2 linked regions of the Oryctolagus cuniculus genome follow. The protein of the gene in region 2 binds, or shares a complex with, the protein of the main gene of each other region. Each region holds a gene or a part of one and is shown on either strand. Other genes may lie near its edges.

Region 1 (4,559 bases), on a different chromosome or scaffold from region 2:
AGCCTGGCTTTTCTGCTGAATGTCATGAAAACTAATTCGTTCATTGTATGGATGCTTTGGATAACATACAAAATAGTACATTTTTCTCTCTCAGATTAATGTGTGTGTGTATGTGTGTCCTCTTTGCTAACTTAAAGGATCACCATACAAGGCACCAAAACAGAAAAATGTTCCGGTCCAGTGTTGTTCCTGCTTTGACTTCCCATATAGGCATGGGAGATCATAATATTTCTAGTTTCAGGCTGCTTTAAGTCTTCATCCAACCTTGGTGAAAAGCAGTTTCAACAGCTGCGTGGCTTCTGACAAGCCCTGCACAGGGCACAGAGCCTACTAGGGTCAATCAAAAGTCCCTCACACAACAGATACTCAGTCCAGAGAGCAAGTGTTAACCTCATGGGTACTCCTATTTCAAAAAGGGATTGCGCCAGCTATTTTTAGTCCAGTCCAGGATGTGCCTAGATTGTAAACACTTCAAAGAGCAGGGATGGTATCCTCTTAGGGTGTACAGATTGTACATGCAGGGAATCATACTTTGAGAATGCATGCACTACAGTCAATCTATTACTTTAGTGATGAGATATAACTGGCATTTTGCTATGTGGTCTAAATGAAAGACTTGGATATGTTAGGTACTTTAGATTCTTAGATATCTATACTTTAGATATTTACAACAAAAGTCTACTGTGGAGTGAAAAGTTTTAAAGAAGAAAGGTGTTTGTTAAGGGTGGGAGCTCCAGGAACTGAAAGGGTTGCTAGCAAGTTATTAGCTTATGATAAATTATTAATTATAACTACTATATTTATTACTTATGAATGGCCAAATTATTAATTGCATAAATAACATATGAATAGTCATTGTTCATATTGCATACTTGTTGGTAGAGCAGATTAAGTCAGATGATAGCAACCTCTAGGTTATTGAATCTTGGTTCAAAATATGGTGAATGAGACTGGTTAATGTTTCATTTCCCTCTTAATTCTTATCCATCGTTTGGCCCTCAGCATGAAGGAAGTACTACATTGCTAATGAAAATCTTTACAGACATTTGCTTGGAGGAGAAAATGAACAGAAGAAAATTAACGCATAAAGGAGGAGAGCAAGTGCAAGAAGGCAACAGGAGGGCAGTGAGTCCAGTCAAGGAGCAAAGGCAAAGGAATGAGAAACAAAGACAGACTCTCCCTTAGGATTTTCTAAATGAAATCAAACCCTGGTCCAAATACCCACTTTCTTGGGTAACTTCTCCAGATATACAGTAAATATCCTGTATTTAATGATCAAAACAACCCAATTCAGGGGGAGGAAAATAATTGCTCCACCAAATCTGCTGTTTAAATTAAGCTCTTAAGTAAAGGGAGTCTTGGATGATGGCCTAACAGGAAATAAGAAAAATGCTTTTGTTATCTTCACAAAAACTCACATAAGTATTATTGTGATTTTTATCTCCCCCAAGATTACAGCTGGAAAAAAATAACTTTTAGAGAATGGTTAAGTTGTTTGTGTGGTGGCACATTAAAGGCAGCAAATTAGAGGCAGGCCTAGGAATGGCTGACTGGAACTAGTTACTAGGATTGTGGTCACTCCAAAGGAGTGATTACAAGAAAGAGTTATCACTGGCGAAGAACTAGTCTGAATAAACAAAATTAGTGTGAATTTTCAACCACTTTGGGAAACTATTTGACATTTTTGAAGCTTAAAAATGCTCATCTCCTAGTATCTAACAATTTTACTTCCACCCCAGATGCTTAAGTGCATACGCACCAGGACACATATACAAGGGTATTCACAGAAACATTTTCACAATAATCCCAAATTGGAAATAATAGTAGAACTTGGCATATTGATACATTTTAATACTAGAGTAGAAAGAAAATACATGGATTTCAGTTATAGCTACACAAAACAAAAATGTGTGGATCTCAGAAATATAATTGTTGGGTGTAAGATAGTTTGCAAGAGAACAAAATGACTCCATCTATTTAACATAAAAAACATGGAACTTTATCGCAATATTAAGGTTAGTAAAATTTTAAATAAAAACCAGGACAAGATGATCTCAACATCTTGGGACAGCAGGGGAGGTAATCAGGCACAGATTTCTGGGATGCTAACAAGGAACTGCTTCCTGCCCTGGGTGACAGCTATACAATTGATACCCTAAAATTATGTCTTAAACTGTGTATGTTTTATGTGTTCTTCATATTGCTTTATAGTCATCTCTGAATTGACAGGCTATCTATTATTATTCTTTCTTTCCTCTGCTTTACCTCCTACTATTTTTTGCACTTTGATGGTGAACTTAAGTATTTATTATTTCGTGTATTCTTTAAATGACTAGAACACAGTTAAGATGACAATTTCTAAAGAATCCATTTCTTTCAATATGTGTGCTCACAATTAACTGTAGACTTTACTCACACACACATTTATGCCTTTTAGGAATATCCAAATTTAGGCAAAAATCCAGATCAATCAAGTTCTATTGGCTTCAACTTAAACCTTTCCTGAAGTCAAGTTCATGCCATATGATCCAAAGAGATTGCCATATGGATGAACTGAAAACCAAAAATCTATGAATAAATTGGACAGGAAGTTTGACTTTGGAATCAATGGAGTCTTTGAGAAAATTAAAGACTTTCTTCTGTGCTATAAAGAAAGTTTTGTAACTATCGGAAGGGGAAACATGCATGAAGAAAATAGGAATGACTTTACATCTTAAGGTAGGTATTGCCTATTTTATTAAGATATGTAAACATTCTGCCTTTCTCATTTAAAACTTGCACACACACACACACACACACACACACACATGCACCCTATGCTAAGCCTAAAAACCTTGCTGTTACCTGAAGAAGGTCAAGGACACACGTTGGCTGCTGTAGGTTTCTCCTTACTTTCTCCAACTCTGGCTCCAACTCCGGCTCATCTCCCAGGCTGTGTGGACTCCTGGGCTCTGGGCAGGGCCTAAAGTAGTCCAAGGGAGGTGACACTGTGATGTCACTGATGAAACAGCTGAAAGGAATAACCCTGAAGGTTTGAGGCTATTTGTGTTCAGGGGGACTTGGAAATATGTTGACTAAGACTGTTTCTTCGGTTGCCAATTTATTTAAACATCAAAGGGCACTAAAACTTCTATTTCCAGTTCCCTTTTGGTGCACTTGATGTGGATTTTAAATTGATCCTTTGCATTTTCATGAATACATCTAACTTATCTTTAAAAACATCACAAACCATTAGTGATAAAATAATTTTTTTTTTGACAGGCAGAGTGGACAGTGAGAGAGAGAGAGACAGAGAGAAAGGTCTTCCTTTGCCATTGGTTCACCCTCCAATGGCCGCCACGGCCGGCGCACCGCGCTGATCCGATGGCAGGAGCCAGGTACTTATCCTGGTCTCCCATGGGGTGCAGGGCCCAAGGACTTGGGCCATCCTTCACTGCACTCCCGGGCCACAGCAGAGAGCTGGACTGGAAGAGGGGCAACCGGGCCAGAATCCGGCGTCCCGACCGGGACTAGAACCCGGTGTGCCGGCGCCGCAAGGCAGAGGATTAGCCTAATGAGCTGCGGCGCCAGCCAGATAAAATAATTTTTAAAAATCAGTGCAGCATCTGGCCACTCCCACTACTGAGCAGGCCTAGGTGTAAAGATGTGACTTTGTGTTACCACCTATATCTTTAGCTGTTTGCAATATAAAGAGTTCTCTCTCTCTCTCTCCAACACACACACACACACACACACACACACACACACACACCACGATCCAGAATTCAAAAGACATCTTGAGCTGCTTCAAAATTGACTTTAGTCCAAACAGTGAAAGTTATCTCTTCCATCACCTGCTCCCCATAACTTTCCAGCTAAACAGTGCATTGCAAGTTTACACCTTAATCTACAGTTTCATCTGAAACAGCTGAGAGAGGCGTGGTTTGTCTATCTCTGTCAGTAAACTAATATAGCAGTAAATTCAAATGGCAAGACATAGTCATTTCGATAGATTGGGGCTAGAAATAGAACTGGTCAAAATTTTTGAAAAACCTGAGTTATTGAATAAATGTGGAAGATGTCAAATTATATAACTTTCTTTATGAATACAGGCTAAATGAGTTTGCAACCAACAAATCAGATGTTTGAAGATAAATAGAGCCTCTGAAGGGTTTAATTGGACTTCAAAATAAGTCAGTTAAGCACCTTAAATCTGACCCCAGCAGTTGTGTTTGCTCAGCAAATCCCTTCTTTATAATAGAGCAATCCCCCTCTGAATTCCCAGTCAGGGTTAATCAAAGTCATACATCCCAGGCTTGGGCATTTGGCTCCTCAGGACTCTTGCATAGAATATCAGAGTGCCTGGTTCAATTTCCAGCTCTGTCCTCAGCTCTAGCTTCCTGCTAATGGCACACTCTAGTAGTTCAGCAGGTGATGATTCAGATAATCAGGTCCTTGTCACCCGTGTGGGAGATGAGGACTGAGTTCCTGGCTTCTGGCTTTGGCCTTGTGACAGGTGACCCAAAAGTTTAAATTGTCTACAAGGTATAACATGCCCCCAGGTGGTTATAGACTATGGG
Region 2 (3,806 bases):
GTCCTCCCAGGCCCCACCCTCAGTGGTGGTGATGGGTGTGTCTGGCCCCTGACCTTGCACACAGACATCTGGTTGGTGGTGAGGGTGCCAGTCTTGTCAGAGCAGATGACAGAGGTGCAGCCCAGGGTCTCCACAGAGGGCAGGCTCCTCACGATGGCGTTCTTCTTCGCCATCCGGCGGGTGCCCAGGGCCAGGCAGGTAGTGATGACAGCGGGAAGACCTGCGGGGAGGGCGGTGAGGAAGCGACCCCCAGGGAGGGGCCAGGAGACCTGCTGTGGCCCCCAAGGCTATCAGCTCCTGACCCCTGGCACCTGGCACCGAGACATCTGGGAAGACAGCCTTTGCTGATGAGACTTACAAACAGGAGGAGAAAGAGGCTGCCGTTACCTTCTGGGATCGCAGCCACAGCCAAGGCCACGGCGATCTTGAAGTAGTAGATGGCACCGCGGATCCAGGAGCCCCCGTGGACGGGGTCGTTGAAGTGGCCGATGTTGATAAGCCACACGGCCACGCAGATGAGGGAGATGACCTTGGACAGCTGCTCCCCGAACTCATCCAGCTTCTGCTGCAGCGGCGTCTTGTCCTGCTCCGTGGCGGCCATCTGGTCACGGATCTTCCCGATCTCGGTGCTCACGCCGGTGGTGGCCACGATGCCCAGGGCCTTGCCGGCCGCGATGTTGGTACCCTGGGAAGGTGAAGGAGAGGCAAGGCGTTGGGCTAGGGGTGCCCCGCCCCCCTTCTCTCTCTTCCCACGCCTCCTCCATCTTCCTCCCAGAGCTGGGCTCCTGGCTGGAGCACGCGACAGCTGGCCCCGGGCTGCTCACCGAGAAAAGCATGTTCTTCTTGTCCTGGTTGACAGCCCGCGGGTCAGGGACTGGCTCCGTGTGCTTGATGACGGACACGGACTCGCCTGCGGAGAAGGGGCCGGGTCTTTCAGGTGACATCACCTCCTTCTCCCTGACTCCCACCCCACCCCACGCCCTCCCTGCTCAGCAGGGACAGGGCCTGGCCAGGACCCAGCGACGGCCCTGCAGGCAGGCTGGGCCCTGGGAGGGGCTGCACTGGAGCAGGAAGCCCTTGTCTCGCCAGCTGCACAACGTTGCGCGCTTAACCTCCATTTGCCCCTCTGAAAAATGGGGACACTTGAGCGCTGTGTTTTGGTGACAATCAAAGCAGCCGATGTATGCAGAGGTGCACTGTCCAGTGTGGGTCACACCCCTGGGAGGGACAGGTCCCCGCCCCCTCACGGCTCCTGGGCCAGCCCGGCCTGGCCTGCTTGGACCACAGGGAATGTTCTCCAGCTCTGCTCGCCGCCTCCCAGGGGAGGAAGGGATGCAGCTGAGACTGGGGGGGACATCCACACCCTGCACTTTCCCCTGGAACCCCATGGTCCCTCGCTCGAGGACCTCTGAGGACACCAAAGGAGGCGGCACAGCTGTCCAGGTGTGGCTGTGACTACGTCCCCGTGGAAGAGGTGGGCCGACGGCCACATGGCAAAGGGGCCCTAACGTGCGGCCTCTCCCCAGGGCCCCGGATGATGGAGGAGGCCAGCAGAGGCTCCTCCTCCCTGCCTGTCCCCCCAGCCCGCACACCTGTCAGGATGGACTGGTCCACGCGGAGGGTGGTGGACTTGATAGACAGGATGCGGATGTCTGCAGGGACTTTGTCCCCAACTGTGGAGAGAGCAAAGTGAGGTCAGCTGGGAATGGTATCTTCTCCCTACCTAAGAAAAGCCCAGGCTTTGTCCAAGCCCCTCACCTCACCCATCCTTTGGGATTCAAGGCTGGGGCCCGGTCCTGGGCTTAGGTCAGGCCTTCGGCAGGTGCTCCTACAGCCCCCAGAAAGCACCCCTGGGACCCCCAATTCTCCTGCCCCCCATTGTAGAATGCTTCCCACGATAGGAAGGGCCCAGCATCCTGCCTGGCACACAGTAGGTGCTCAGTTAGTGTCCCCTGAACAACCGAAGGGGCAACTGGGGACAGATCGGATGTACAGAGAGAAAGGAGAACAGAGAGGCAGGGGGGGGCAGAGTGAGGTAAAAAAGCACCCAAAGAAGTGGGAGCAGGGGTGTCAGAGCGAATTGCCAGGGTGAGAAGGCAGGGGAAGGCGGGAAGACGTGAGGGAAAACTCCAGAAAGTCAAGGTTAACGGAGAGAAACAGTGCAGCAGGAAGCAGGAGAGAGGGAAGGCGACGAGGGAGGAGGCCAGCGGAGAGGGAGCAGGTGTGGGGTGAGTCTCGGAGGGGACCGCGTATCGGGAGCCCCTCAGCCTGGGCAGCTGACGGAAATCAGGGGCTGGGGGTGGGCCAGAGAGGAAACAAGGTGGGCTTGGAAAAGCAGAAACTGCAGCAACGTGCTGCAGCTGGGACACGCAGAGGCCTGGCCGGGAGACACATGGGGGCCGGCTGGGTCAGCCCGGAGACCACCTTGGGGAGTACTAAAGGCTGGGCGCCCCCACCAGCCTTAGGGGCCTGTAAAAGAGGCTGCACCCCTCCCGGAGGCTCTGCTCGATTCCACCCTGGCCCCCACAGACGACACTGGGGCAGGGCTTGGTGGATTTCCCTCCGCAGCCAGGCCGGAGGAAGCGGCGGCTGCGGTGGCGCTGGGCGGGACACCCTGTCACCCAAGCCCAGGCGATATTTATAGACATTCATGGTGCTGACTCCAAGCTGTCACGGTGGCAAGTCGGCCCTGTGATGGGATGCCGGGGTCTCCAGCCCGCCCTCACTCCCTCGCCCCAAGCTTCCCAGGGTAGCGGCGACTCGGGTGTCTAGGGAGGGCAGAGGCCTAGGAAGACGCGGTCCCAGTGCCAGGGGCCTGGAGACGTGGGGAGGCCTGCTCGGGGCAAATATAAAAACCGCTGAAGGGGGCAGAATCCCAGTCATCTTAGTCACTCGGCCCCCACCCCTCCCCGGGCAGGAATTAAGTGTCCCTCACTGGGGCGGGGCCCTCCTTGGGCTCGCCTCCTCCCTGGTCCCGTGCTTGCGGGCTGGGGCCTGAGTTTCCCATACATGGCCGGGGGCTCGAGCCTTTGGCCCCCCTCCTCCCTTCTACCCTCGCTCCTTCCCCTCGGAGAGGCCTCAAGGGCACAGAGAGGTCAAGACAGAAAGCTGACCAAGCTTGGGGGTGGAAGGAAGGAGAGGGAAGGCCAGGCCTCGGGAGGGGGTGGAGATGGGGCCGTTGGCAGGGCCTGGGTTCCACCTGTTGCATGCAAGTGCTGGGGGAGTGGAGGGGGAGCCGGGGGTCTGCCTGTAGCCTCAGGGACAGGACTGGCTGTTCCTGTGGCAACTCGGCCCGGAGCACTGCTACCTGGTGTGACCTCCCAAGGAGTCTGGGAAGGAGCGCCCAGACCCCACCCGAGGTTACCGCCCGCGTCACTCACCCGCCACCTCCACGATGTCCCCGGGGACGATGTCCCGAGCCTTGATCCTTTGCACTGACTTGCGGTCAGCCCGGTACACCTTCCCCATCTCGGGCTCATATTCCTTCAGCGCCTCTATGGCGTTCTCAGCGTTCCGCTCCTGATGGCACAGGGCAAGAGGAGCCGGCCATGAGAAGGCAGGGGCTGGGGCTGAGGGGGAGTGGGGAGTGATGGAGGAGCGGAGCCGGGGCGGGGGGGGGGGGGGCTGGGGCCTGAGAGGTGGGGACCTCGCAGAGGGGGCAGGGCTAGGCAGTGTTGGCTCTCAGAGCCAGGGAGTGCTCAAGACCCCACAGGAGGACAGGGGTGTGCGTGTGCGGTGAGGGTGTGGGTATGGGTGTGTGGTGGCTGTAAACAGGTAGAGACGGTTTTTTGGGGGAGAAGAAAGAA

What was found.
Region 1: the proteins of ATP2A1 (region 2) and SLN are in contact, whole or in part, in a crystal structure (PDB 3W5A), measured with the Oryctolagus cuniculus proteins. Residues at the interface, in XP_069919846.1 of Oryctolagus cuniculus: Phe88, Val89, Leu96, Ala100, Ile103, Val104, Trp107, Arg110, Asn111, Asn114, Arg324, Lys328, Trp794, Leu797, Gly801, Leu802, Thr805, Ala806, Phe809, Trp932, Ser936, Leu939, Leu943, Leu946, Ile947, Val950, Pro952, Leu953, Ile956; in NP_001075856.1 of Oryctolagus cuniculus: Met1, Glu2, Arg3, Ser4, Thr5, Arg6, Glu7, Leu8, Leu10, Asn11, Phe12, Val14, Val15, Thr18, Val19, Leu21, Ile22, Trp23, Leu25, Val26, Tyr29.

What each region holds. Positions count from the first base shown.
Region 1 is NC_091432.1:99,520,776-99,525,334, forward strand, and holds the start of SLN (sarcolipin), read right to left. Parts: upstream 2,939-4,559; 5' UTR 2,845-2,938; intron 1-2,844. UniProt on the Homo sapiens protein: Reversibly inhibits the activity of ATP2A1/SERCA1 and ATP2A2/SERCA2 in sarcoplasmic reticulum by decreasing the apparent affinity of the ATPase for Ca(2+). Also inhibits the activity of ATP2A3/SERCA3.
Region 2 is NC_091450.1:7,719,317-7,723,122, reverse strand, and holds part of ATP2A1 (sarcoplasmic/endoplasmic reticulum calcium ATPase 1), read right to left. Parts: intron 3,520-3,806; coding exon 3,381-3,519; intron 1,674-3,380; coding exon 1,593-1,673; intron 911-1,592; coding exon 825-910; intron 686-824; coding exon 388-685; intron 221-387; coding exon 54-220; intron 1-53. UniProt on the Homo sapiens protein: Key regulator of striated muscle performance by acting as the major Ca(2+) ATPase responsible for the reuptake of cytosolic Ca(2+) into the sarcoplasmic reticulum.